Linked DNA regions of Cricetulus griseus. The protein of the gene in region 6 purifies or fractionates together with the protein of the main gene of each other region. This does not show direct contact. Links are inferred from orthologs where the notes say so. Each region holds a gene or a part of one and is shown on either strand. Other genes may lie near its edges. The genes, in order: Zgpat, Snrpb2, Ddx23, Sf3a3, Sf3b3, Snrpb and Smndc1.

Region 1 (4,256 bases), about 48 Mb from region 6:
GACATACACCAAAGTTATGGTAATGCAGGTGGAGTTAGTTAAATTTATTTTTAAGAATCTAAAGCAAGCTGGGCATTGGTGGTGCACGCCTTTAATCCCAGCACTCAGGAGGCAGAGGCAGGTGGATCTCTGTGAGCTCGAGGTCAGCCTGGTCTCTAGAGCAAGTGCCAGGATAGGCTCCAAAGCTACATAGAGAAACCCTGTCTCGAAAAACAAAAACAAAACAAAACAAAACAAAAAAAATCTAAAGCAAATTCAAGAAAACAACTCATTCATCCTGGATGGTTGTAAAGATGGTGTTAGATGTTTTATTGTCTTTTAGTTCTGCCCTAAAATTGATACCACAAGCAGCTCCTTGTGATGAAGTGGTCTCACGGCCAGCAACATTGTACCGATCACTTAGTGCTTTGGTGTCTGTCTCTCCATCTATAAAGTGGGGTGGGGACTGACAAATGGTTTGACAAGTAAAGGTACCTTCTGCCAAGCTTGATGACCTGAATTCAATCCCCAGGGCCCACATGGTTGAAGGAGCCTACACTCAAAAGCTGTCTTTTGACCTACACATGAGCACCATGGCACATGCATATATACATACAAAATAAAATAAAACAAAAATTATATAAAATGGGATGAGTTCAGGGCCTACCCATAGGTTCGTGCACAGAGAAGTGAGCATATGTCAGTCAGAGAAAGTACTTAGAGGTATTAAATCTCTCATCACAGGGCTTCCCACAAAAAGACTATGGCAGATAAAGCAGCCACTGGTTATAGCAACATGTGTATTCTTGGAGAAAACCCACTGAGCACACTGATCATTTATGCACCTATAGGCATGAGAAGGAAAGAGAGTGAGCAAGGAACATGTCAAGTCTACTAGGATCTAAAAAAGATGTGCAGAGCCAAGCTAGGTAGCACATGCTTGTAATCCTGGCCCTAGGGAGGTAGAAGCAGAAAGATGAAGAATTTAAAGTCATCCTTGGCTATATATGGATTTCAAGGCCAGCTTAAAGCTACATGAGATCCCATGTTAAAGAAAAAGTAAAGAAATAAAATGTGCAGAGTACAGATGTAACCATGGAAGTAAGAGCTTAAAGTGATGTAAGAGAACCACAAACCAAGGAATATAGGTGGTCTCTGGAGGTTGGAGAGATGGCTCAGTGGTTAAGAGTATGTGTAATGTTTTTGAGGAAGACCCAAGTAGTTCACTACCAGTAGTCCTGAAGCTCCTGCTTCAGGAGATCCAACACCTTCTTTTAGCCTCCTCATGCACCTGTACTCAAGTACACATGTATTCACAAACACACACACATACACACAATTAAAAAGAAAAGTAAGTATATAGAGCTAGAGAAATGGCTTGGTGGTTGAGAGCATACTGCTCTTGCAGAGGACCTGAGTTTGTTTTCCAGGATCTATGTTGGGTGGCTCATAAGCACCTGGAACTCCAGCTGTAGAACATGCAACACCTTCTGGCACCTGTACTCATGTTCACATACCCACACAAATACACACAAAAATAAATCTTAGCTAGAAGTGGTGACACACGCCTTTAGTCCCAAGCACCTGGGAGGCAGAGCAGGTAGATCTCTGAGTTCAAGGCCAGACTGATCTACAGAGCGAGCTCCAGGACAGACAGGGCTACACAGTGAAACTCTGTATCCAAAAAAAGAGGGAGGGAGGGTGGGAGGTGGAGAGAGAGAGAGAGAGAGAGAGAGAGAGAGAGAGAGAGAGAGAGAGAGAGAGAGAGAGAGAGAGAATGAATATAATGTGTTTACTTATGTGTTTACTTAACAGGGAATGTTCCTGTTAAAGCCTGTCAGCCACCTGAAGCTCCCCCTTCTCTTTTATCAATTCTGCGGGGTGGAGAACAAGTTGTGAAGGCGGCAGGCCACAGCAGTGGTCCTGCTCGAGTGACCCTTATTGCTAGTAGCAGAGGGCTTTACCTGCAGTTCTCCTTGAAGCGGCATTTTCCCTCCAGGAAGAACGGGCAGGGCTTCAGGGACTTGTGGGTAGGGTACAGGTAGAGTACGCGAACGCATGCCGAACCATCCTCTGCCTCTTCAGTGCCCACAACCATTGCGTTGTGATACTCTAGCGTGCCCCAAGCGCTGTGGTAAGGGGCATTCACTTTAGCACCGCTCAGCTCCTCCTGATCTGGATCCTCCTCGTCTTCCTCCTGTGCAGGGGAGGTGGGTCCAGGCCGCACCACGCTCCCAGGGACAGTCTCCGAGTCATCCACGGGGGCGACGGGTGCCTCCCCTTCCTCCGCCACAGCCTTCTGGAAAGCCAAGTACTCAGCGTCCTCCTCTGCCTGGTGCTCCAGGTCCACTGTAGCCAGCAGCTTGCTCTTCCTGACCGACAACAGGCTGGCCTCGGTGAGCTCTATCAGTTCCTTCAGATCGCCCTGCAGCTGGCGCAGGTCCGCAAGCTCGGAAGCGTCCAGGCCAGCACCAAGAGCCAGCTCTACCTGCCCGAGCTGGGCCCGGTAGGTCTGCAGGGCCGTCTCCAGGTTGTCCTCGTCCATCGCTACACCGCGCAGGCTAGTTTCGGAACCGCTAAAGCAGACGAGACCTGAGGGAAGAGCAGTCGGCAGAGCTCAGGACAACGCCGCCCCCTCCCCGGCCGCTGGAGAGGCTGAGGAGGACCTCGGCGCTGCCAAGGGAACCGCAAAGTATCCCACCGCGTCCTCTGCGGTCCGCAGCCCCGCCTCCCGCCGGTGCTCGCAGCCTACAAGGGCTTCCGGCCTCGCCAGCAGAGCCCTCGCGCTAGCCTTCCGCCCGCCGCGGGCACTTCCGCCCGAGAGCTGATGCTGCCGGAAGTGCCCGCGTTCGGGAGCCTCCGGGATGGGGCGCGCGGGGGCCGTCGGGATGCGGCTCCGCCCTCTCGTACTCAGTCGGCCGGTCGGTGTCCCGACAGGCACCGCGCGGGGTCAACGCGAGGTCGGTGGGGTTTGCGACGCGACGACGGCGTCTGCGGCTCCGAGATCTGAGCAGGTGCAGGTGGGTCTCCGCCGGACTGAGGGGCCGGGGTTCCAGAATCCTGGGGTAGGGGGCAGGGAAGCGGCTTCGGCAGCTGGTTCTTTGGCTCCGTGGGCCCGGCAGCGGGGGGGGATCCAAAGGCGGCCCACTCAGAAGCTGACTCTCTGGTAGCTACGACAGTCGAAGTTCCCAGTGCTGAGTTGAGGGTCCGGAAAAGAAGCCTTAGGAGGGCGGAGCAGGGTAGGCCGCCATGGGTTTTTCAGGACTGATGGTGTATTCACAAAGATGACCCGCAGTGGGAGTAGTGGCCCAGGTTTAGCGGGTGGTCGGTGGTGGAGGCAGGGTCCGGAATCGGGGGCTGGGGAGAGGGGGGCAAGGAGTCGCGAGCCACGAGGCTCCACATTTGAAAACTAGCAGGACCGACGGACCACTGATGAAGCGGACAGGAGGCCGATAGCCCTGGTACACACCTTGACATTTCTCAGGGTGCCAGGGCAGGATGTACACGCTGCTTTCGGGGCTGTACAAGTACATGTTCCAGAAGGATGAATACTGCATCCTGATCCTAGGCCTGGACAATGCCGGGAAGACAGTAGGTGCCTGTTCTCTCACCAATTCCCTTTCCCTGCCTTATGTTCTTTGCAAATCTAATCCCTACCCAAGACTACAGGTTAGTTGCCACCAGCCTCCCGAAGAGCATTCAACAGGCAGAGGTTCGTGTGCATGTGTGTATGGGTGTGAAGGCCTGAAGTTGCCCAAACCATGTGGGTGTGAAAGCCTGAATTTGCCCAAAGCATATGGATGTGGAGGGATATTTAGAAAAGACACCAGGAAACTGCTTTAGCTGCCACTACCTAACCACCTTTCTTTCTTTCCTCAGACCTTCTTGGAACAATCAAAAACACGGTTTAACAAGAACTACAAAGGGATGAGTCTATCCAAAATCACCACTACCGTGGGCCTAAACAGTAAGGGGGATATGAGCTTGGGTCCCTTAGAGATGCAAGCCCGTACGTAGCCCAGCTGGCCAGGGGCCAGATCCCTCTCTGTGCATGCCTGCTGGGATTGGTACCAGAATGGTTTTCCTCATTCCAGGAAGAGCTGGGACTTTGTAAAGAGTAAGGTCAGGAGCTAGCTCATTCTATCCTCTCCCCAGTTGGCACTGTGGACGTGGGGAAGGCTCGTCTCATGTTCTGGGACTTAGGTGGACAAGAAGAACTACAGTCTTTGTGGGACAAGGTGAGACACACTATCTGCTCTGTACTGTATTTCTCTAGA
Region 2 (3,500 bases), about 13 Mb from region 6:
CCAGGAGAGCCAGGGCTACACAGAGAAACGCCCCCCACACACACACATGCAGTGCGCGCGCGCGCGTGTGCGAGCGAACAACACACAGACACACACACACACACACACACACACACACTTTTCTGTCTCACCTGCCCAGGCTTCTTGTTTGCAGCTGCTGCAGCCTGTTCCATGGTTTTAGCTTTCTTCTTTTCCTTTTTCTTTTCCTTGTCAGCAAAAGTGCCACGCATTTTAGATATTATATCGGAATCTGTTTTTGCATACTGAATTCTCTGTTTTAGTTACAGGAAAATAAATTACATTACTTTGTGGAAGGCTGTTTACAATAGTTGTTAACCTTTTAAATCCCAGTACATAACTACAATGCAAACTAATTTTAAACATATCTTTAAGGAAACCAATGAAAGAAATTAGTGAAAATAAGTACTGGCCCATGATTCACAACTAGGGCAAACTACACTCACCTGTCTTTAATATTAAAGGACAAATAAAGTTGGGCTGGGTGGCTCCTATCTATAACCTCAGGTACTCAGGAGGCCAAATCAAGAGGCCTGACTGGGCTACAAGGCCAGTCTGAAAACTTAGCCTCTATTTCAAAGGAAAAGGTAAAGATACTCTGAGTAGGAGAGTACTTGCCTATCATGTATGAAAGTCCCAAGTTCAATACCCACCACTATCACAAAACAAACAGAAAGCCACTCGACCAGACTGCATAGGGTAAGAGCAAGGCTGCAGAAGCTACACTACTGCTTCTTCTGACTTAATAACAACGAAAACTTATAATGACTCACAAAGGGATCAGTATGTGTCAATCAACTTCAAAATGTATTTACTTAAAGTAAAAGTCTGTAAATGACTTTCCTTTGAATCCATCAATTTCAATAAATGAATTCAGTAATTTAAATGTTGAAGTGGATTAAGATGAAACAGAAGGATAGAGATCAGCTGCTATGATCAGGCATAATCTTCCTATACCAGAGAGAGCCAGCAAGAGGGTAGGCACCTGAGACCAGCAAGCACTCAAAAACACTGGCCTATACTAGTGTTTTGCCAACTATACTGCACAATCCAACAGCCCGGATAGCCTGACACAGAAGGTCTAGGTAAGGCTACAGAGTCTATGCTTTTTGAAAACACAAAGTGAATGACGACCAGCGTTGAGGAGTGAAACCTTAAACTAAATTTGCTACATGGCTAAATTCATCACTGATGAAATGGCCAAATATTTCTGCCAACTACCTGTACAGTTACCAAGGGTATGTCTGCAAGTTGCAATTTCCATTCAAACAAAAATATCTCCAGAGTTCAAAGAGTCAACATTTTTTTTGATGACATCAAAACACAATAACCCTACAAGGTCCTCCTATCCCAAGAATTTGATCTTCGTCTAAAGAGAAGAAAAAGCATTTTAAAGTAGTGTGGATCAGAGGAAAGAATTTCTTAAAACCAAAAGCAATTCTCTTTCCCCTCCTTTCACTAGGAAAGAATACACCAGGGGAAGAGGAAAACAGGCACTCTCAGAACCCCAGGCTTTGCCTGGCCAATGAGGACCGTTCTATTGCAGCATGTGCCAGACAGCTCTGCTAACCTTCCCAACATGTTCTAACAGACAAAACAGGCTAAGGTTCAAATTCTACCACTCAGAAGAATTCAGTGCTCAGAGGTCATCAACCCTGTCCCTGACCTGAACAGATCTTGGGTCCCTCACTTGTCTGCTGGCCACTGTTAGCACATTCATCTAAGAAAGTATCTGATCTCAACAACGGCTCTTAACAGGACATAATGCAGTGTCCAGGGACTATATAGAGATACTGCCAGCAGAGATGCTTTTTAGCTTCTAGTGGGTAGAAGCCAGGGACTGATAAACACCCTAGTGAATAGTAAAACCCCAAAATGCATTACAAAGAAACTCTGCTCCAAATACCCATAAAAATAAAATGCAATTATCTCTTAAAAACAGCAAAGAGCAAGATTAACATTTATTCCAAAAGACTCATGATGGAAGCCCTCAGGACAACAGGTCTACTTTATTGAGGTTATTGTGTGACTGAGTTAGAATTTGAAGCAAACCCTGCTCACTGTTGATCTAACCTAAAAGCACTTAAATACAAGCAAGGCAACTCAAAGCATCTTATTTATCCTGTCAAGATGCTGGAGATCTGGCAACTCCTGCCAAGTTTTAGAGGCAGAAAATGGACCTCTAAAATACCTTCAGTATAGAATCAGACCAATGGACATTTTGTATTCATTTTAAAAAATGAGTTGGCAAGGTGAGGTTAGTGCCAAACACAGCAAATATTTTCTCTTTTCTTGTATCCAGTTAACAAGGCACGTGCCAACTTGCCATTTCAATTCAGCCAAATTGCCTAAAGAAGTTTTGTGTTCCAGGCAAATGAGATCTAGATATGTAAATATTTTCAAATTAAATAATCATAGCTGCTTCAGGAAACTTCACCTTACTGAAACTCGGGAAACAGTGATACAGGACAAAGGCTCCCAAATGAGGCTGACAGCTAACACTGTAGGGCTGGATGGAGCACAGCCACACCCATTCAGTTGGATGTGCACTGCCTACACTGCTGTCTGCATAAAGAGCTATGACAGAGAAGCATCTGGCTAGGGAGGCATGCAATCTTACTGCCCGACCCCACTGGAAAATGTGTTCCCCCCCTAGTATATAAAAAGCATCATACTAAATGTTATTAGTTTCCAAGTGCTGATGCTACCACTAGCTACAAGAATACACCTTAAACGAATAAGATTGGCCTCATGCTCAGTCCTTCTCCATGATATGAAGGGAAGACTATCAGCCTTAAGACCAAATCCAGATCATGACCTGTTTTTGTACAGCTTGTGAGTTAACAATTATTTTAACACAATTTTAAAAGGTTCAAAACACAAAGAAAGCAATAGGTATCAAAACTTTACGTGGTCAGCAAAGCTTGACATATATATCTAGTCCTTTGAAGTTTCTGCTGATGTCTGGATTAAACCAATGATTCAACTTGCTCATATTTTAGTGGTGGTGGAAGCGAATAGAGATGCAGCCTCTGCTAGTAGCAGAACACAAATGAGGAGTCAGATCCTCTAAGTCACAGGCTTTGGCTCTCCAAGACCTCTTTTCATGATGTTCCAATCTCAGCAGAAAGGCAATATGAATCTATACTCAGGGCCCAGCCTATGTCCTCATACTTAAGATTTTCCAATCCACCATCACCCAGTCTTAAACCTATTGGCCTCCTAATTGAGTTCCACACATGCTCTCTGGACCTCCCAATCCTAACTGAGAGAGTCTCATGTAGCCCGGGATATCCTTGAACTTCTGACCCTCCTGCCTCCACTCCCTAGTGCTGAGAAACCATGCATGTTATCACTATGCTACCTTAATGTTTTGAAGAATCTTGTCTATGTTGCCATCCTATTTTTCAATGATGCACATCATAATATAATTTTGCTCATTTTAACTAGAATAAGTTCATTAGTAATTCAGCTCTAGTAGT
Region 3 (3,500 bases), on a different chromosome or scaffold from region 6:
AGGCCAGCTGGTGCTACATAGTGAGATATGTATATATTCTTTTATGGCCTGTGTGTGTGTGTGTGTGTGTGTGTGTGTGTGTGTGTGTGTGTGTGTGTGTGTAAGATAAGTGCAGAGGAAGAGAAAGAAAGGGAATGTACATGCCATACGGTATGTGTAGAGATCAGAGGACTACTTGCCAGGGGTTGGTTCTCTTTCCATTATGTGGGTCCTAGAGCTCAAACGCAGGCCATCAGGCTTGGCATCAGGCAGCTTTGTCCCCATCCTACCCCTGAGCCATCTTGCTAGACCAAGAAAATTTATTCATATTAAATGGTGACTAGCATATCTAATAGATAGCTAGAAGTAGAAATAGATGGTGTTTACTAATGCTTCTCTTTCACACCAAACAGTAGCCCAGAGTAGTCCTAGAACTCACCACTTAGACCAGGCTGCTCTTGAATTTGTGATTATTGCCCCGCATCAGTTTTCCAAGTGTTGGGATTACAGGTGTAAGCTAATACATTTGGCTTCTAGCACATATTTTTAATAATAATTCTTTGTAGTTTAATTCCAAATACATGGTATACTTGTTGTGCATATTTAGAGTCTACCCCTAGGTGTGGTGATGGCTTCTAATCCTAGCACTTGGGAAGCTGAGGCAGGAAGATCACCTTGGGTTAAAGGCCAGCCTGTGCTATAAAGTGACACCCTGCCTCAACAAGTGGATAAATGAATATATAAAAAGAAATCACAGGGAGACAATATCGTGGAACAAATAAGAATGGACTTTTTTTTTTTTTTTTTTTTAAACAGGGTTTCTGTGTATAGCAGTCCTGGCTGTCCTGGAACTCATTCTGTAGACCAGGCTGGACTTGAACAGAGATCTGCCTGCCTCTGCCTACTGAGTGCTGGGATTAAAGGCATGTGCCAACCATCCCAGCATTCGAATGGGCTTGCTATCTAGCATTAGTGTTACCTCAAGCAATTAGGGTATGTACTGTGCCTCAGTTCTCTCATCTATGAAGTAGGTATACTAATGCATGTATTGTTTTGAGATTTACTGAACTGTGCATAGTAATTATTTGCCTTTCACACACAGATGGCAGGAGAACTGGCTGACAAAAAGGACCGAGACGCATCACCCAAGGAGGAAAGGAAGCGATCACGGACTCCTGATAGAGAGCGAGATAGAGACCGAGACCGGAAGTCCTCCCCATCTAAAGACAGGAAGCGGCATCGGTCACGGGATAGGCGGCGAGGAGGTAGCCGTTCTCGCTCTCGGTCCCGTTCCAAGTCTACAGAGAGGTAAAGTCACTTTGCATGTCTGTTACACAGGAAGGGGGAAGACATTTGGTGCTTCCAGCACTAAGCAGCTTTTCATATAGTAGCCTACCTTGTCCCAGGTGGACCTGCAAGTACTTTCAGTTTTCTTGTTCCTTTTTTCTGAAATGTAGTCTCCCTGTGTAGCCCAAGTGAACCAGGACTCATGGCGTTCCTCTGTCCTGGCCTCCTGGATGTTGTGGTTATTGGTGTTTCCATGGCACGCAGCTGAGTGACCAGTTCCTGCAGGTTAAAATGTGGTACATGAGCTTATAAGGTGAAGGTACAGAGGTCAAGGATAATGGATTTAAAGGAAAAAGAAAGGAAGATGGCTCACTTGTTCTCCCAGTCCATGATCTTAGCTTGCACTGAAGAGCACTACAGCAGTGCTCTGGAAGAACCTCTTACTAAGGAACTGTGTGCTGTTAACTACAAGCCTGGGCTTAGAGGGTAATGTGCTTGCTATGCAAGCATGAGGACCTGAGTTGGGATCTTGAGCACACATGTAAGAAGCCACGTGTGGCAGCATGCACCTGTAAAGCCAGGTGAGTTGGGGCTTGCATAGTCAGCCAGCTATCTTAGCCAATTGGTAAGCTCCAGATTCAGTGAGGGGTCCTGTTTTAAAAGAAAAAAAGATGAGGAAGACAGCTCAGTGGCTAAGGGCACTGGCTACTCTTCCAGAGGACCCAGGTGTGATTCCTAGGATTCCTAACACTCACATGGTAGCTCACAACTGTCTATAACTCTAGTTCAAGGGGATCTGATACCTTTTTCTGGCCTCCTTGGGCAACAGGCATACATGTGGTACATGAACATCCATGCAAGAAAACACACACATAAAACAACTTTCTCTTTTTAAGGTGCAAAGTTTGGTGAAATGGCTGGGTGGTAAGCATCAGGATCTGAGTTCAAATCCCCAGAATCCAAGTAAGAAGCTAGGAGTGCCAGTAATCACTTGGATAGGCAGGTGCCACCAGCTGACTGGCCAGCTAGCCTAGCCAAAATGGCAAGCTTCCAGTCCAGTGAGACTAGTGGTCAGGGTTCTCTGGAGGAACAGAACTTAGAGTGTATCGCTATATACAGAGAAAGGGGATTCATTAGAGTGGCTTACAGACTGAGGTCCAGCTAGTCCAACAATGGCTGGCTGTGAACAGAAAGTCCAAGAATCCAGTAGTTGTTCAATCCACAAGGGTAGGTGTCTCCACTGGTCTTCATTATATACTAGAATCCTGAGGAAGTAGACTCTAAGGTCACTGAAGGAATGGACTTGGTAGCAAGGTGGAAGCAAGCAAACAAACAGCAAAAGCTTCCTTCTTCCTTGTCCTTATATAGACTTCCAGCAGAAGGTGTGGCCTAGGTTAGATCTTCTTACCTCACAGATTTGGATAAGAAGTAGATCTTCCTACCTCAAATGAAGTAAAACCCTCTCAAAAGTGTGAGATGTGCACAGATGTGTGAGATGGGTTTTGGTTCCAGATGTGGTCACAGTGACAACCAAGTATAGCCATCATAGAGACCTTGTCTAAGGCTGAGAGCAGTGGAGGAAGATATCTGATGCTGGGTGCTTGCACCTGCATACTGCCTTGCATACACCATGCACACACACAAACTCACAAACACACATAAATGAAATGGAGTGTGGTAGAAACCATTTGATGTCAACTCTAGCCTCCTCACATGTGTACAGGGTACGTGTATCTATATACACCACACACATAGATCTTTCTAGAATTTCCTCACAGTTTCCCTGAGAAATGTATTTTCCAGTTTGTTAAACATTACTTTAAGGAGAAAGAAACATGGGAACCTTCTCAGGGCCTCAGTGAAGGAAGAAATTCTAGAAATAGCAAGTTATTTTTTTAAATTTTTCATCTTCCAGAGAACGGCGACACAAAGAACGAGAGCGAGATAAAGAACGGGATCGGAATAAGAAAGAGCGGGACCGTGACAAGGATGGACACAGGCGGGACAAGGACCGAAAAAGATCCAGGTAACAGAGTGGGTTTTAGGTGATGCTTCCATCTTTTCTACTCTGTAGCTCAGCTTCATGGGAAAAAGTAGATTTCTCTTAGCAGATACTATTGATAGTTTCTACAGAATGGACTTACAAAGAAAGTTTGTATCTTTTCCATTAGTTTGTTTATTTAATCAGTATATTACTGGCCCTGGGTGGCCTGCAACTTCCCATGTAGACCAGG
Region 4 (3,500 bases), on a different chromosome or scaffold from region 6:
ATCTTTGTTCCTCTCAGTGTCTCTGAGAACAAGAAGAAAGCTGTGTCAGTTAAAGGTTCTTTCTGCACCTACAGCTTTACTCCTGAAAGGAGCACTGACTCTGTGACTGCATTAGAAACCCCCAGGCACACGAGCAACATAACACCATGCAGAGCAAGCTCTCTGCTTTAAGTCCTGCTGTCTCCTCTTCACATTGCCTATAAAGTCAATGACCCCGTAAGACTATTCCAACCCTAATACTGTAACTTATAGAGGACCATAGTATACAGGAAGTCCTGCAAGCAAATGCATGACAAAGTCCTAACTTCACTGCTTAGAAACTGCAAGAAAGGGCACATATTGCAACTTTCCCAAGCCCCCGAAAAAATTAGAGTAACAACTACTATTCAGGCTTAGTATGACAAATTAGAAAAGAACATTAAAACAAACAAAAACCTCCAAATGCCCAAAACAAAAAAATAATATAAAATACTCTGTATAGGTATGTGGCTTTTGAATACGTTTGACTGTCTTTAGTAAAAGTAGAAGCTAGGCCACAGTGGCACATGCCTTTAATCCTAGCAGTAGGGAGGCAGAGGCAGGCAGATCTCTGTGAGTTCAAGGTCAGCTTGGTCTACAGAACAACTTCAAGTACAGCCAGGGCTACACAGAGAAACCCTGTCTTGAAAAAAAAGATTAAGGTCCTGCCCAGAAATGTAGCAAGTTTGCAGCCAACCTGAGGTACAGGAGATCCTGTCTTAAAAGGAAAAAGCAAAGCAAAAGGAAAGAGGGAAAGCAGACCCTACGGGAAAGAAATCTAAAATAAGAATAGAGATGCGCCCCAGCTACTCACCTTTTTGTACCCTTTGATTTGGGATTTTTGGCAAACAGAGAAGTGTCGAGTGACTCCAAGGACTTTCCTTTGGTGCTGAACAGCCTCTGAGCTCGCTCTTCTAGGGTCCTAAGGAGGCAGGGGGTACATAGGATTTTAGGGTGAACTTTATGTAGAGCAGGCTGGCGTGAGACTCAGAGCCTACTGGCCTCTGCCTCTTAAGTGCTGGGGTTAAAAGTGTGCACCATCATGCCCTGCACAAGATAGTTTTTGCAGTGTAGGGCAACAGAAAACAACAAAATCTGAACCACACAGTAAACACACAATAAGTAGCTTTGATAGAAAAACTGGGTTCTTACCCACCACATTTCAGGCCTAAAGCCAACAGTGCAGATTTCAACCTGTCCAGACCCAGGGATGCCAACTCCTACAAAAGATAAATTAATTACAAAATAGAACAATTAGCTTTTTCCACAGGCAAGACTACATTCTACAGCCAACCTAGCTTTCAGTATCCAGAGACAGACTACTGCCATGTCTAGATGCTGCCACACTGGGAGGGTGGTGTAGGTAGAATTCTATCTGTAGGTAGAATCGGTCCTACCAGTATTTTCGCAGAGATGGGAACTGAACTTGGGACCCCACACCTGCTGATAGAGCACTACACCAACAGAGCTGTCTCCAGTACACTGTTCTCCTTTAGAATTACTGTCTTTGTGTTTTGAGACAGGGTATCATTCTGAAGCTAGCTTCACATTAACAGCAATTCTCCTGCTGCAGCTACCCTCTAACTCTAAATACTGTAACATCTTATCACACTTCTCTTAAAGAAGTTGAAAGGTTTTTTCCTCCTGGTTTTTCCATATGCCTAGTACATGCCTGTCCTCAGGAAATGGTATTATTGCAAGTCTAAGACACTGAAGACAGGAAGCAAGTGGTCCCTCTGAAGGATGGCCAGGGCTAGTGAGACAGCTAAGAAAGAAACAATGTTTGCTTTAAGTGATAACCTGAGTTTGAGCCTCAGGAGAGAAGCTGGTGGAAGGAGAGAACCAATGCTCACAGCTTATCATCTGCACATGCGTGCTGTGGCACATGTGTAGAGACATACAACTACTCCTACACAATAAATTTAATAACAACACAAAGATGGCCAAGCAAGGCTACTATCATCTACTGTCCTAAAACATACCTCCCAGGAGGAGAATGCAGAGAGATCAAGATGGGCTCCAGCATGGGTCAGGGCACTGCTCGTCTCTTTCTGGCAAGAACAAGAAGTTTAAGATCCAGGTTAATAAGATGAATGAAGGTACGCGAGCCGTCTAAATTCCCAGGACTGGCTGGCCCCTTTCTTTAATCACATTTACAAATAATGATCAAATCATACAGAAATGAAGCAAAAAATTAAAAAGATGGCTAGTTTCTTCCTGAAGGTTCAAGTTTATCAACAGAACACGTGTGTGTGTGTGTGTGTGTGTGTGTGTGTGTGTGTGTGTGTGTGTGTGTGTGTCATATCTAATCATTCAAACCGATCAGATTTTGTTCAGCAGGAGACACAGAGTAATCAGGATATGGTTGTAAAAAATCACAGGCCCAGGGCTGGAGAGATGGCTCAAAGGTTAAGAGCACCGTCTGCTCTTCCAGAGGTCCTGAGTTCAATTCCCAGCAACCACATGGTGGCTCACAACCATCTGTCAAGATCTGGTGCCCTCTTCTGGCTTGCAGGCATACATGCAAGTGGAACGTTGTATAAATAAAAAATAAAAAAATAAATGTTTAAAAAATATTAAAAAAAAAAAAAAATCCCAGGCCCAAGCCAGGCAGTGATAGCACACATCATTAATCCTAGCACTGGGGAGGCAGAGGCAGGTGGACCTTTGTGAGTTTGAGACCAGCCTGGTCTACAAAGCAAGTTCAAGGACAGGCTCCAAAGCTACAGAGAAACCCTGTCTCAGAAGCAAGCAAGCAAACAAACAAAAAACCCCTGGCCCTAGACAATGGCCAGTGGGTCCTGACAAATCTTGTTCAAAGTGTACAAAGAAAGCCTTGCTTTAGGGTAGAGTTGATCCTGAGGGACTGGCATCCAATGTCCTGAAGCAGAGACTCAAGACTGAAATAGTAAGCTTGCTGTGGGATATTTGTACACTGTGTGAAGGTGTATTGCTGTGATGGGTGTAATAAAAAGCTGAGTGGCCAACAGCTAGGCAGGAGGTATAGGCAGGATTTCCAGAGAGAGGAAGGAGAGAAGGAGGATTTTAGGCATGTGGAAGATAGAGAGGAAACAGGAGGTACAAGATGGAAAAGAGGTAACGCCACATGATAGGAAGTAGATTAATATAAATGGGCTAATTTAAGTTATAAGAGCTAGTAAGGAGCAAGCCTAAGTTATAGGCCAGGCTATGATAATTAACAGTAAGCCTCCGTGTCATTATTTGGGATCTGCTAGCAGGACAGAAAAAGACTTGCTACCTAAGTTCACTTCCCGGGCATGAACCCCGCTGAAGCTCACCGGCCATCCAGGAAAGGTACCATTATCCCACTTCTTCTCAAAGTCGGTCTGAATCTTCCCAAAGAGTTCATTCTGATCCTGAAGGGGCTTCACTCTATCTGTGTAATCCTGGAGGTACTCCAGCAGCATTTCCAGGTATCTGCAGAACACGCAACAGAGAAAGCAATCACAGCTTCTATCTGT
Region 5 (3,500 bases), on a different chromosome or scaffold from region 6:
GTGGTTGTTGTTCTTAAATTTTTATTCACAGCCTGAAATGATGACTTTAATTTCATGTCTCTTCTCTGACATTTTTCTCTGGAGATGATTTTTGCTTTACTGATCTGATCAGGCTGTAGAATGGAATATTAGCTGTTTCTTTGTTCCTGGGTGTTTAGTATGTATTTCTAGCAGACAAGTTTTAGTTATTTTGTTCAGTTGGCAGCTACTGTGGTTATTATTTGTATGTTAGACCTTGATGGTCTGTATAGTTCCTATTGTTAAAGTACTTAATTCTAGAATAAAAAGTACCTATTTCTAAGATGTTGATTATATATTTGGCCTTACTAGAATGACCTGGATGACCCTGAAAGAGGAATGATTTTTGTTTGCTCTGCCACCCATAAGACCAAGTCCATGTTCTTCTTTTTGGCTCAAACGGAGCAGGGAGATATCTTTAAGATCACTTTAGAGACAGATGAAGATATGGTAAGTAGACCATGGATGGAGGGGGGAAATATGTATCTGTTGTAGTCTATTTTTAATTTGAATATAATTTAAAACTCTTGTCTAAAGTACTTGGCTATATATACATGTAAGATTTACAAAGCTGCTTTGCAACCATCATAACTTTTCCCTGCATTAAGATAGGGAGTAAGTACACCTGATACTTGACAAGTCAAAAAGAGGGCTTTTGCCTTGTCTTCTTGTTTTGTTCTATTTGACTGTGGTCTCATGGAGGCCTGCTTTTTTTTTTTTTTTTTTTTTTTTTTTTTTTTTTTTTTTTTTTTTTTTTAGAGGAAATGGAGTGGGAGTGAATCTGGGGAGAGGAGGGGAGATTGTGGGGGGCTGGGAGAAGTGGAGGGAGGGAGGGGAACCTCACTGGGATGTATGGTTATGAGACAAAAACATACTTTTAATTAAAAGAAAGAAAGAAAAAAGAAATTTAGATACCTTAGAAAATGATTACTTTTACTTTTGGGTTTGAATGTGAAAATGGGTTTTCCTATTCTGGCTAATGAGTATCTGGTCTTGTAAAGCCATAACAATAATTGATGTGAATAGGAGAAAGCTCTTCATGTCTCGGTAGTTGATAAAATGCATGGTATTTTATTGACGTGATCCTTAACAATGGACATTTAGTTACCTAGGTACTGTTTAGTTGGGAATTGCTAAGATTTGTAAAGGTTAGGTAGTCATTTTCAATTTTTCTGTGTCATACAGACTCAGTCTAAATTAACTTTGGCATTGAAACAGAAAGAGCAGTAGACCCAGCAGTCTGAGTTATCATTTGTTCCCTTTTCGTTTAGATACTGAGCATGGTGGGGTTTTGTTTGTTTGCTTGTTTTTGTTTTTTTACTTAGTTCTGCTTGTGGTGCATAACAGCAGGCTTCTGTGGCCAAGCTGCACTTGCCTTTACACTAATCTTTTTCTCCAGGTAACTGAAATCCGCCTGAAGTACTTTGATACTGTACCTGTTGCTGCTGCAATGTGTGTGCTTAAAACAGGCTTCCTTTTTGTGGCATCAGAATTTGGAAATCAGTGAGTAATCCTTTTATTGTCCCAGTTTACCTTGGTTACCATAAATAGTAAAAGTTGGCAGAAGGGAGGTGTGGTTGGTGTGGTTTCAGAGCTAGGGAGGTTTTCACAAAGTAGTAAAGGTTTTTCAGAACAAGTAATTGCTTTCATTTTCTCTTTGTTTACATTTTCCCCAGCCCTTCTTTTCTATTGCATATTCTCTCTCTTATTTAATAAGTGTTTTTTTTAAAGTTATTTAAAATTTTATGTGTATGTCTGCTGAGTATGTATATACACCACATGCATATAGAAACCTGAAGAGGGCATCTGGAACTGGAGTTACAGATGATTGTGAGCCATCAAAATATGGCTGCTGGGGAGGCTGGAGAGATGGCTCAGAGGTTAAGAGCACTGGCTGCTCTTCCAGAGGCCAATTCCCAGCAACCACATGATGGCTCTCAACCATCTATAATGAGATCTGGTGCTCTATTCTGGTATGCAGGCAGAACACTGTATACATAATAAATAAATCTTAAAAAAAAAAAAAAAAGATATGGATGCTGGGAACCGAACTCAGGTTCTCTGTAAGAGCAGCAAATGCTCTTAAACTACTACCTTCCCAAGGCTTCCCTCCAGTCCCATTTTTCTGTTCTTTTTTTGTGTGTGTGCTTTATTTCATGGCTTCAGTCACTGCCTCTGAATGTCTGCAAAAATACCTTTAGCTGAGTGTATGGTGGTACATACCTGGATTCCAGCACTTGGAAGGCCAAGGCAGGAGAATCTCAAGTTTGAGGTCAGCTTGGGCTACATAGTGAGATGATTGTCTCTAGAAAACTAAAAACCAGAGAGATTCCTACAAGAACTTCTTGTGCAGACCTAAACTTGAAGGTCATTAGTACCTACACTGCCTGCCCACATCACCAGTGTGCCATGATCAGGATTTTTTTGTTATTGACTAAAAGAGCCACTTCTAGTAATTTGTAAGTTCTTAATTTATTTTTCCTCTACTACTTTTAGTCAAATGCAGAGTTCTCTTTTTACTTCTTTTTGTGGTTTCAATCTAAATTTAACTCGATTGGGTTTCCTGCAAAATCCAGTCTTCATAGAGTTGTCTCCATGCCACCTCAACAAATTAGAACAATCCTTATTGACATATTTCCTGTATCTCTGTATTAACAGTATTTGGTGAATTTTCACTGCCAAATGGAAGAAATCTCAACTGTAATTGCTATTTAAAACCAATATCCACAACTTCAAATGACATAAATGACAAGGTCTTGCCAGTAGCTGCTAATATGTATGCAGAACACTTACTAATTTAAGCTCAGTTTTCTCATAATTAAAATACAGATACTTTCTAGGAGATTGTACTATTTCTGCCTTGTCTCCAGTAGAAGCATGTGTGAGTATATAGGCCAGACCTTACTGTCAGGTATTTTCCTCAAGGCTCTTTACCTTATTTTCTGAAACAAGGTCTTGGGTTGAACCGGAAGTACACTGATCCATGCTTGTCTCCCGAACTCTGAGATTATAAATGGGTATTACTGCATCCTGATTTTTACATGGGTGTTGGGCATGTGTACTTAGGTCCCCATGCTTGGATGTTAAGCACTCCTCCAACTGAGCTATCCCTAGTCCATACTCTTTCTTCAACATGCCATTTGCCTAAGTACCTTTTTTCATCCCCGTTGAAGTTTTTACAGCTAACTTTGAATCACATCCCATTTCTTAGTATACTGAAATCTGACTATGCTTAATCGTTTATGCATAACCTGTGTCAAAGAAAGTTCTTTGCTTTTTCCCAGCTACTTATATCAAATTGCCCATCTTGGAGATGATGATGAAGAACCTGAATTTTCATCTGCCATGCCACTAGAAGAAGGAGACACATTTTTTTTTCAGCCAAGACCACTCAAAAACCTTGTGCTTGTGGATGAACTAGACAGCCTCTCTCCCATTCTGTTTTGCCAGGTATGACTTTATTCAATCACCTCTACACTGTG
Region 6 (4,189 bases):
CCCTGAAGAGGGTCAGAGGCTTCTTAAAGCAGTTTCAGACCAGGCTGCAATAGGAGAGCCCTTTAGGCTACAGCTTTACAAATAGGTAATGAGGCCAGAAAATCAAGCTCTCCCCCCTCACACACCTGTGGGGAGAACATGAGAGCCCTTTACCCCAGTACCCAGGGGCATGCAAACTCAGAAAAATTAAAAGCCTAGCAGCCCTCCTCACCAACTTCTACTTTGCTAGAATTGGAGAGCAAGGTTTTCTGGATTAAGGAAGAGATTCCTTAGCAGCTAACATTCCCCTTTAAGTTTCTCCCTTCAAAAGCAAGTGAGCAAACAAGAGCACCTAGCTGAATGGCCATCCCACTCTTGGCCCGCCCATCCATCCAGTCCATCCCAGTTCCTTCTCCCTCCCAACAGCCCTCTCCTTACTTGATCTTCCTGAATTCATCACAGTCACAGAGGATCAAATTCATATGCTTGTCAAAAGCTTTGAAGGTCCCGATGAAGATCCGGCCATCTTGCAGGATGCACCTCATCCTGTAGTCAATGTGCTGCAGCATCTTGCTGCTCTTACCCACAGTCTGCAAGGAGAGAGCAGGGAGCAGTGAGGACTCACTCACACACTTCTGCTCTTACCCACAGTCTGCAAGGAGGGAGCAGGGAGGACTCACTCACACACTTCTGCTCTTACCCACAGTCTGCAAAGAGGGAGCAGGGAGGACTCGCTCACACACTTCTGCTCCCCGCCCCCATCTTCCACCACAGCCTACTTTTCTATTCCCAACCTTCTCAACAATTTCCTGACATCTTCCAAACAAGGTCCTTTTCTGAGACTCTTATCAACCAGCTTTAGCCTTGATTTCTGCCCATTAATGTGCTATTTTCCCTGCCCTTAAAACAGGCAATCTCCCTGGGACTACAACTTTGTCTATGTTGTATCTGTCTCAGGAGAGTTAAAGTGTTCACAAACTAATCAAATCCACCCATACTAGACCTAGTGGGCATTAAGCCATCCACCACTATATAGACTCAGTTCTACGAACAACTAAATCCATCTAAACTAAGAACTGGAATTCAACAGGCACTAAGTGGATTCACTTAATTAAGGAAAAGCTTATTACCAGAAAGTGAAACCAGCTCTGAAGCAAGAACAGGAGTAGGGTAACTTGGGCAACTTTTCTGGGCCAGAGTGCTAATTAGTTTGGATACTTAATAGTCTAATATATATATATAATATAATAGTCTAATTTTTAATTAAGGCAAACAACATTCTCTATCCTGGTTCCCAATGTAACTTTGCAAAAATAAAGGCGCTTATACACACCCCTAGGTGAACAGAGGTATCTGTGGTAGTCTCTCTCAGAAACGTATCAGTTACCCACAACTATAACTGGCATTATGTCACTTTTAACTACCCAAGTTGTCTTCTCTGTACCAGGAACGCTGTTCACCCCTGTGAGCATTACCCAGCCCTAACCTGAAAACCAGATTTTGTATTTTTTTCTGCTTAAATAATCATCTCAAAGAGCTCTGTTACTAGGATCGGCGTATATCGGTCCAATAGCTAATATTTAATAGCTATGTATGGCTAGGCCCTTGAAAAGGATTTATCTCCTTTAATCCTCAAAACTGGGTCCACTGTCATTCCTTTTTACTGACCAAATAGACGACCCAAGCTGAAGGTTAAGTAAGGACTTGTCTCAGTCAACTCTCAAAAACAATAACCTATTTTCGCTACCTCGGGTTTCTTCAGCTACTTAACTAGACTAATATTTTTGGAGACATTCGAGGCATTTGTTACATTTGCTCTGTAGCCAAAACTGGCTTCAAAATTCAAGCTCCTCTGCCTACTATGCACAGAAATTACAAATTTCGAGCACTGGCCACTTTTCCCGGCTGACCTTTCTAAACCTAAGTCCATGAAGCCTGTGAAAACTCTTCCAGCGATGTCTTACTACCAAGAGGGAAAACAAGATGCAGGGACTTCAGCAACCAGGTTCCTGACAATTCGTTGCCTTCTACTGGGCCCTCTCGGTTCTCCAGATTTCTAACCCTCCCTCGTACAGGGGAGCGGGGCGCTCCTAAACAATCACTTGGGCGTCTGCTCTGGACCCGTCCCGCCCCTCCCCCTGCCGTTACTTTTTTGCCTAAAGCCGAACTGCCATAGAGAATCACATTAGCCCTGCACAGAGCCAGAAACTGAACCAACGCACAACTTATTTCAGGGTGCAGCCCCAGCGCCTGACATACCCCAACATAAAAATACGCGTAGCAGGGTCGCGCTCTGCATGCAAACACTCTCCTCCACCCTCCCGCTCCCTCCGCCTCTCCTCCGTCCGGCCCGGTGTCCCCCGGTCGGCCGGAGGCTCGCGTCCGCTCCGGGAGCCCGGGCACACAGCGACCCGGCACACGTTTCCAGCTACCGAGGCCGCGGAACTGTAACCGCAGAGGCGCCGGGCCACGCACGGCGGCCTCGGTCCCCGGTGCAGCCTTCCCCTCCACCCGGGCCCAGCCGCTCCGCAAGTCCAGGCCTTTGGCGCCCGGATTAAGCGGCTTCGACCCCGACCTTGTCGGCCACGGGCGGCTTCAACCCACGGCCGCCGCCAGCCACCGCCCCACTCCGCACCCCTGAGCGCCCCGCGGCCAGCCCGCGCCTTCTTACCATGGTGGCGGCTCCGATGTCTCAGATGCCCGCCGGATTCGCTTCCACAGAGGCCTAGTCGCCAGCCAGCAGCGCGATTCCCGCCGCCGCTAACGGAAATGCAGCCCGCAAAGTGCCGCCCCTCGTGAGGCTACTTCCGGCTCGGCCTCCGCCCCGGAGTTCCGGGCCCTGGTAGCAGTTTAGGGCGTGGAAAGGTGTTGACTGCGGCCGGTTTGTTTGGGGTTTTGTTTTTGTTTTGATTTTTTTGGTGTGTGTGGTTTTGGTTTTTTTTTTTTTTCTTCGTTTTAATTTTATCGAGCTCTCCCTCTCGTTTTGTTTTGTTTTAGAGACTGTGTCGCCCAGGCTGGTCTTAAGCTCCGATCCTCCTACCTATAGCATCCTTAGTACCGACGCGGGCGTACACCATCATATTTGGTAATAAACATCAAACTGAACGCCCTTGAAAGCATTGGATCCTCGTTGGACACACACCTTCCCAACTTAGTCTCCGCGAGGGTGGCGTGTTTCTCTCCCCGGAACCCCTCCCCTACTCCAGTTCTTGAACCCAGCGCTCTCGTGAACTCACTCACAGAACTCACTCTTACTGATTTTCCCCTAAGGCTTGAAATGTTCTTTCATCTGTACCTTTGCATTTGCTTTTGTCTCGCCCTTTCCTCTTCATGTTTAGACTGAAATAACACTGTCCTGGTGAGGACTTCCCTGATCGTCCTTTCTCTTTATAGATAGGTAGGTAGGTAGATAGATAGATAGATAGATAGATAGATAGATAGATAGATAGATAGATAGATAAGAAACGAGTCCTTCCCATTTTTTGTCTTTAATATTGATTGCTATCTGACATGCTAAGCGGTAGTCCCCTCATTGTTGGAGGGGTTACCTTCCAAGACTCCCAGTACCTTCTCCGAGTCACAGTACCAAACCCTGAATATGCTGTATTTTTTCTACATATGTATACTTCAGTGAACTTGTGCTTTTCCACTTAAAGAAAGCATATTTGGGTACCTTTGAATTGCCGGCATCACTAATTAAGTGCTTTAGGACTATTAACAAAACAAGGACCACCTGAACACAAACACTGCAACGCAGGTCAGTTGATCTGATGATCCCTCTAGCTACCGAGAGGGTAGCGTATGCAGTGTGGAAACCTACACAAAGGGAAGATTTGTGGTTAGGGCAAAAATATGGTATTTCCTCATGCTAGTCACAATGGTGCATGACTTAGAACATTAAATGCTTAGTTCTAGAATTTTCCATTTAATATTTTCAGACCTATAGACTGGGATAAGAGATGATTACTGTCTATATTCTTAAGTTATTTTATTACCCCATTAGAATGTAAGCTCCACTAGAGTATAGTGTTTTATTTGCTTAGATCACTGCTTAGCATAAAGGCTCAATAATTATTTGCTGAATGAATTAATCTTATTCTGCTCAGTGACTTCTAACTGTTGTTTATATGCCCAGGAGTTTGTAATTTATTCCTCTAACCTTGTTTTTGTTTTTTGGTTTTTTTTCCTAACTTTTGGTCTTTTATGTAAA
Region 7 (4,256 bases), on a different chromosome or scaffold from region 6:
GTCTGACCCTGCCTCTGCCTCCCTACCCCTGCCCCCACCTCTCTGCCCCTGCCCCACCTCTCTGCCCCCTGCCCCGCCTCTCTGCCCCTGCCCCCACCTCTCTGCCCTACCCCCGCCTCTCTGCCCCTGCCCCCCGCCTCTCTGCCCCTGCCTCTCTGCCCCTACCCCTGCCTCTCTGCCCCTGCCTCTCTGCCCTGCCCTCTCTACCCCTGCCCCCGTCTCTCTACCCCTGCCCCGGCCTCTCTGCCCCTGCCTCTGCCTCTCTACCCCTGCCCCCGTCTCTCTGTCCCCGTCTCTCTGCCCCTGCGCCCACCTCTCTACCCCTGCCCCCGTGTCTCTGCCCCCGTCTCTCTGCCCCTGCCACCCACCTCTCTACCCCTGCCCCGTCTCTCTGCCCCTGCCCCGCCTCTTCTGCCCCTGCCTCTGCCTCTTACCCCTGCCCCCCGTGTCTCTGCCCCCGTCTCTCTGCCCCTGCGCCCACCTCTCTACCCCTGCCCCCGTCTCTCTGTCCCCGTCTCTCTGCCCCTGCCTCTGCCTCCCTACCCCTGTCCCCGCCTCTCTGCCCCTGCCCCCGCCTCTCTGCCCCTGCCTCTCTACCCCTGCCCCCGTCTCTCTACCCCCACCACGTCTCTCTGCCCCTACCTCTGCCTCTCTGCCCCTGCCCCGCCTCTCTACCCCCGTCTCTCTGCCCCTGCCCCCGCCTCTCTGCCCCTACCCCCGTCTCTCTGCCCCTGCCCCAGCCTCTCTGCCTCTCTACCCCTGCCCCCGTCTCTGTATCCTCGTCTCTCTGCCCCTGCCCCCGCCCCCGCCTCTCTGCCCCTACCCACGCCTCTCTGCCCCTGCCCCCGCCTCTCTGCCCCTGCCTCTGCCTCTCTACCCCTGCCCCCGTCTCTCTATCCCCGTCTCTCTGCCCCCGCCCCCGCCTCTCTGCCTCCCCCGTCTCTCTTGCCCCTGCCCCCGCCCTCTCTGCCCCTGCCTCTCTGCCCCTGCCCCCGTCTCTCTACCCCCGCCTCTCTGCCCTTGCCCCCGCCTCTCTGCCCCTGCCCCCGCCTCTCTGCCCCTGCCCCCGCCTCTCTGCCCCCGCCTCCCCGGGGCGGGGCCGCAGGCGCCCTTAGGCCCCGCCACTCTCGGCACTAACCCCCTGCCTCGTGTCCTCACCCCTGCCGGGAAGGCTCGCGAGCGCTCGCCCCGGCATCCAGACGGGGCAGCCCACGGGAGGACGCCCCGCCCCCGCCCGCCCCCGCCGCCCCGCCCCCCCGCCGCCGCTCCGGGAGGAACTGACGCAAGAGGAGCCCGCACTCTGCGCCAGGCGCAGCGCAGACGCGTCACTTCCGCCCCAGTGAGGCCACACCCACCCCGCCTCCAGAGGCCGCCGACGCCGGCCGCTGAGAGGACGCCGGGAGTCATGTGACGCCAGCGCCACTCCGCGAGAGCCCGCGCGTCTCGCGAGATCTGAGTCGCCTTGTCTCTTCCTCCTGCGGGAGCCCGGCTTTCCTCCCCTCCCCCCGCGCCGCCGCTGGAGTTTTCCCTCTTGAGACCGAACCTTCTCGTCGCCGTGGACTTCGCCCCCGTCGCCGCCGCTGCTGCCGCCGCCGCCGCTGGGCCCGCTTCCCCGACCCCTGCCCGCCGCCCCGTCCCCAGCCCCGCCCAAGGTAACGAGCCTCGGACGGACGGACGGACGGACGGAGGGTGTAGGCCTCGCCGGGCCTCGGCCTGGAGTAGAGACGGAGGCCGCGGGGTCCCGGCGCGGGCAGCGTGTGGGGCCGGCCGCGCTCGCACCCCGAGTGGGCCGCCCGGGCCGGCGGGGAGGCTTCCGGGCCCAGGCGGCGAGCGTGGCCGGCCCGGGGAAGCCGGCGGGCGGGCGGGCGGCCGGGGGACAGGCCCGGGAGGATGGTGGATGCGGGGCGCCGCCGTTTCCATGGAAGCGGAGCTCCGAGCTTCCCGCTGCGAGCGGCGGGCGCAGCTGTGGCGGGGCGGGGGCCGGGGAGGGGGAGCGGCCCGGACGCGGTCCTGCAGCCCGTGTGCCCCGCACGCAGTGCAGCCCCGAGCTGCGCCCCCGAGACGGCCGGCCGCGGCGGGGACGGGGCTCCGCAGGCCGCGCTCGCCCGACGCCAGGGCCGCAGAAGCGCCTTGCGCAGCGCTGTCTGGCTTTGGAAGGGCTCGCCCGTCCTCGCTTGCCTGGTCTCACTCTGCCCACCGGGGAGAAGCTTGTCGGAAGCCCGGCGGTGCTGGCGTCCGCCTTTACTCCCAGCACTCGGGACGCAGAGACAGGCGCGGGGAGCTCTGTGAGTGCGACACCAGCCTGGCCCACAGAGCGACTGCCCGGACAGCCTCCAAAGCCACACAGACAGACCCTGCCTTTCTTCAAGCAGATCGCTTTCTCTGACATGCTGTAGTCCATAGGATTTATTGCTTTGAAGTTTGGGGGTTAGCTATATCTGAAGAAAGTACAAGTGATGAGGAATAAAACGAGCTGGGAGCAGAAGTGATAACTTAGGCCGGTTGGAGGACCATTTTTGTAGTTCGGCGTTTGACTCAGCTCGTATGGTTTTTTTCATTTTTTTCCTCAGATGTCAGAGGACCTGGCAAAACAGTTGGCTAGCTACAAAGCTCAGCTCCAGCAAGTAGAAGCTGCCTTGTCTGGGAACGGAGAAAATGAAGACCTCTTGAAATTGAAGAAGGATTTGCAAGTAAGGATAAGTGGACAGTTGGAGTTGATGTTGCTTGAAAGAATATTTGTTTTTCTCAAATGAAGTGTTGTTCAGAATTCATAGGCACTTAAAGCACCCGTGAAGAAGGGGCTCCCTGCTTGCATACATACATACATACATACATACATACATACATACATACATACATACGCACGCACGCACGCACGCACGCACGCTGTGTACGCACCGGTGAAGAAGGGGCTCCCTGCTTGCTTGCATACATACATACATACATACATACATACTCCCTGCTTGCATGCATACATACATACATACATACATACATACGCACGCACGCACGCACGCACGCACGCACGCACGCACGCACGCACGCACGCTGTGTACGCACCGGTGAAGAAGGGGCTCCCTGCTTGTATTCACACACGCGGGCACCCAGGCTTCTGTGGTTGCTTTCTCCATTAGGTGTACATTGGAATGAATGAAACACTCATGGTTTTGTAACTCTTGTGTGTGCTTTTAGGAGCTCATGAGAAGAAACGTTGCAACTGAGTATGCGTTTATTTTTAAAGATTTGACAAGGAAACTTAGTTCAAAAGGTAACAGTGTTAAAGGAGGAAAGGATACCCGGATTAAGGTCCATTTCACTGAACCAAAAACTGTGACCATGGTTCTCCGCACTAATGGGGTACACCTTTTGTAAAAACACTCATGATGTGCTTACACGGGGATGTGTAAAGAGATCCCATTCTGCCCATGTTGTAAGTGTTTGGACTTAGGACTTGGCTTTGTAGTTGTGCCTGTCTAAGTTGAATTGGTGTAAAAGGAGACATAACTTTCACGGGAGATAGGAATTATGAAACTTGTAAGTACATGCACGGGGGGCTTCAGGACAAACTCAATACCTGTCGATTCTTAGAGCAGCAGCCTAAGAAAAATAGCACATGTAATTTGTAAATATTGTGTACAAAAGTTTTGATCTTAAGAACATCCTTAAAATTCAGGGTGTTTTGATGATTTCTGCTTATTCTATGTCCCATCCAAATAGTCCTTCCCTTTATACTATTGATGGCTATTAATATTAGATTTTGCCTGATGTGTACATCTTTAGGAAGCTTATGCAGGAAGCAGAAGTAGGCATTGCTCTGAGTTCTAGGCCATCCAAGGCTACATGGTGAGACACTATCTCAAAATAAAAACCCCACAAAATTTCAAATGTAACATACTAGAGAGAGCTTAATAGATTGGGGGATTCTGAAAGATCTATTTTAATTTAAAATGAGTTGGACATTCTTAAACTCAGATTCTAGACTTACAATAGTGTAAATGTGGGATAATATTACTTTGAACAGTGCTCTCCTTCAGTTTAAAGCCACGCTTAGGGAGTGATGTGCCATTCAGTTACCTGTGCACTGAGGATTGGTTGAAGGTGGAGTGACAGAAGCAGGTTGACCTGCCCATCCACCCCTGCTGACCTAAAGCAGTCCTTTCTGGCCTTTGAAGAACAGGAGTGTGCACTTGCTGGGCAGTGGGAGGTCTGTGTAGAGCTGATAGAGGAGAGTTGGGAGTCAAGTTTTGAACAGCATT

The links.
Region 1: the proteins of Snrpb (region 6) and Zgpat purify together in Homo sapiens (affinity purification with mass spectrometry; 3 studies listed by BioGRID and IntAct, with this or other methods). This does not show direct contact. The link is inferred for Cricetulus griseus from reciprocal best matches to the Homo sapiens genes SNRPB and ZGPAT.
Region 2: the proteins of Snrpb (region 6) and Snrpb2 purify together in Homo sapiens (affinity purification with mass spectrometry; 3 studies listed by BioGRID and IntAct, with this or other methods). This does not show direct contact. The link is inferred for Cricetulus griseus from reciprocal best matches to the Homo sapiens genes SNRPB and SNRPB2.
Region 3: the proteins of Snrpb (region 6) and Ddx23 purify together in Homo sapiens (co-immunoprecipitation; 3 studies listed by BioGRID and IntAct, with this or other methods). This does not show direct contact. The link is inferred for Cricetulus griseus from reciprocal best matches to the Homo sapiens genes SNRPB and DDX23.
Region 4: the proteins of Snrpb (region 6) and Sf3a3 purify together in Homo sapiens (affinity purification with mass spectrometry; 4 studies listed by BioGRID and IntAct, with this or other methods). This does not show direct contact. The link is inferred for Cricetulus griseus from reciprocal best matches to the Homo sapiens genes SNRPB and SF3A3.
Region 5: the proteins of Snrpb (region 6) and Sf3b3 purify together in Homo sapiens (affinity purification with mass spectrometry; 3 studies listed by BioGRID and IntAct, with this or other methods). This does not show direct contact. The link is inferred for Cricetulus griseus from reciprocal best matches to the Homo sapiens genes SNRPB and SF3B3.
Region 7: the proteins of Snrpb (region 6) and Smndc1 purify together in Homo sapiens (affinity purification with mass spectrometry; 3 studies listed by BioGRID and IntAct, with this or other methods). This does not show direct contact. The link is inferred for Cricetulus griseus from reciprocal best matches to the Homo sapiens genes SNRPB and SMNDC1.

What each region holds. Positions count from the first base shown.
Region 1 is NC_048599.1:540,403-544,658, forward strand, and holds the start of Zgpat (zinc finger CCCH-type with G patch domain-containing protein), read right to left. Parts: upstream 2,801-4,256; 5' UTR 2,525-2,800; coding exon 1,944-2,524; intron 1-1,943. Other genes in the region: Arfrp1 (ADP-ribosylation factor-related protein 1), read left to right, coding at 3,478-3,570, 3,859-3,946, 4,135-4,217. UniProt on the Homo sapiens protein: Transcription repressor that specifically binds the 5'-GGAG[GA]A[GA]A-3' consensus sequence. Represses transcription by recruiting the chromatin multiprotein complex NuRD to target promoters.
Region 2 is NC_048599.1:35,872,897-35,876,396, forward strand, and holds part of Snrpb2 (U2 small nuclear ribonucleoprotein B''), read right to left. Parts: intron 273-3,500; coding exon 132-272; intron 1-131. UniProt on the Homo sapiens protein: Involved in pre-mRNA splicing as component of the spliceosome. Associated with sn-RNP U2, where it contributes to the binding of stem loop IV of U2 snRNA.
Region 3 is NC_048595.1:395,138,937-395,142,436, reverse strand, and holds part of Ddx23 (probable ATP-dependent RNA helicase DDX23), read left to right. Parts: intron 1-825; exon of another isoform or gene 826-972; intron 973-1,081; coding exon 1,082-1,287; intron 1,288-3,181; coding exon 3,182-3,292; intron 3,293-3,500. UniProt on the Homo sapiens protein: Involved in pre-mRNA splicing and its phosphorylated form (by SRPK2) is required for spliceosomal B complex formation.
Region 4 is NC_048595.1:28,343,422-28,346,921, forward strand, and holds part of Sf3a3 (splicing factor 3A subunit 3), read right to left. Parts: intron 3,457-3,500; coding exon 3,318-3,456; intron 2,070-3,317; coding exon 2,001-2,069; intron 1,239-2,000; coding exon 1,171-1,238; intron 941-1,170; coding exon 833-940; intron 23-832; coding exon 1-22. UniProt on the Homo sapiens protein: Component of the 17S U2 SnRNP complex of the spliceosome, a large ribonucleoprotein complex that removes introns from transcribed pre-mRNAs.
Region 5 is NC_048596.1:187,229,787-187,233,286, reverse strand, and holds part of Sf3b3 (splicing factor 3B subunit 3), read left to right. Parts: intron 1-28; exon of another isoform or gene 29-116; intron 117-330; coding exon 331-468; intron 469-1,417; coding exon 1,418-1,521; intron 1,522-3,302; coding exon 3,303-3,468; intron 3,469-3,500. UniProt on the Homo sapiens protein: Component of the 17S U2 SnRNP complex of the spliceosome, a large ribonucleoprotein complex that removes introns from transcribed pre-mRNAs.
Region 6 is NC_048599.1:48,439,422-48,443,610, reverse strand, and holds the start of Snrpb (small nuclear ribonucleoprotein-associated proteins B and B'), read right to left. Parts: upstream 2,801-4,189; 5' UTR 2,654-2,800; coding exon 2,651-2,653; intron 570-2,650; coding exon 418-569; intron 1-417. UniProt on the Homo sapiens protein: Plays a role in pre-mRNA splicing as a core component of the spliceosomal U1, U2, U4 and U5 small nuclear ribonucleoproteins (snRNPs), the building blocks of the spliceosome.
Region 7 is NC_048596.1:8,173,020-8,177,275, forward strand, and holds the start of Smndc1 (survival of motor neuron-related-splicing factor 30), read left to right. Parts: upstream 1-1,456; 5' UTR 1,457-1,652; intron 1,653-2,570; coding exon 2,571-2,690; intron 2,691-4,256. UniProt on the Homo sapiens protein: Involved in spliceosome assembly.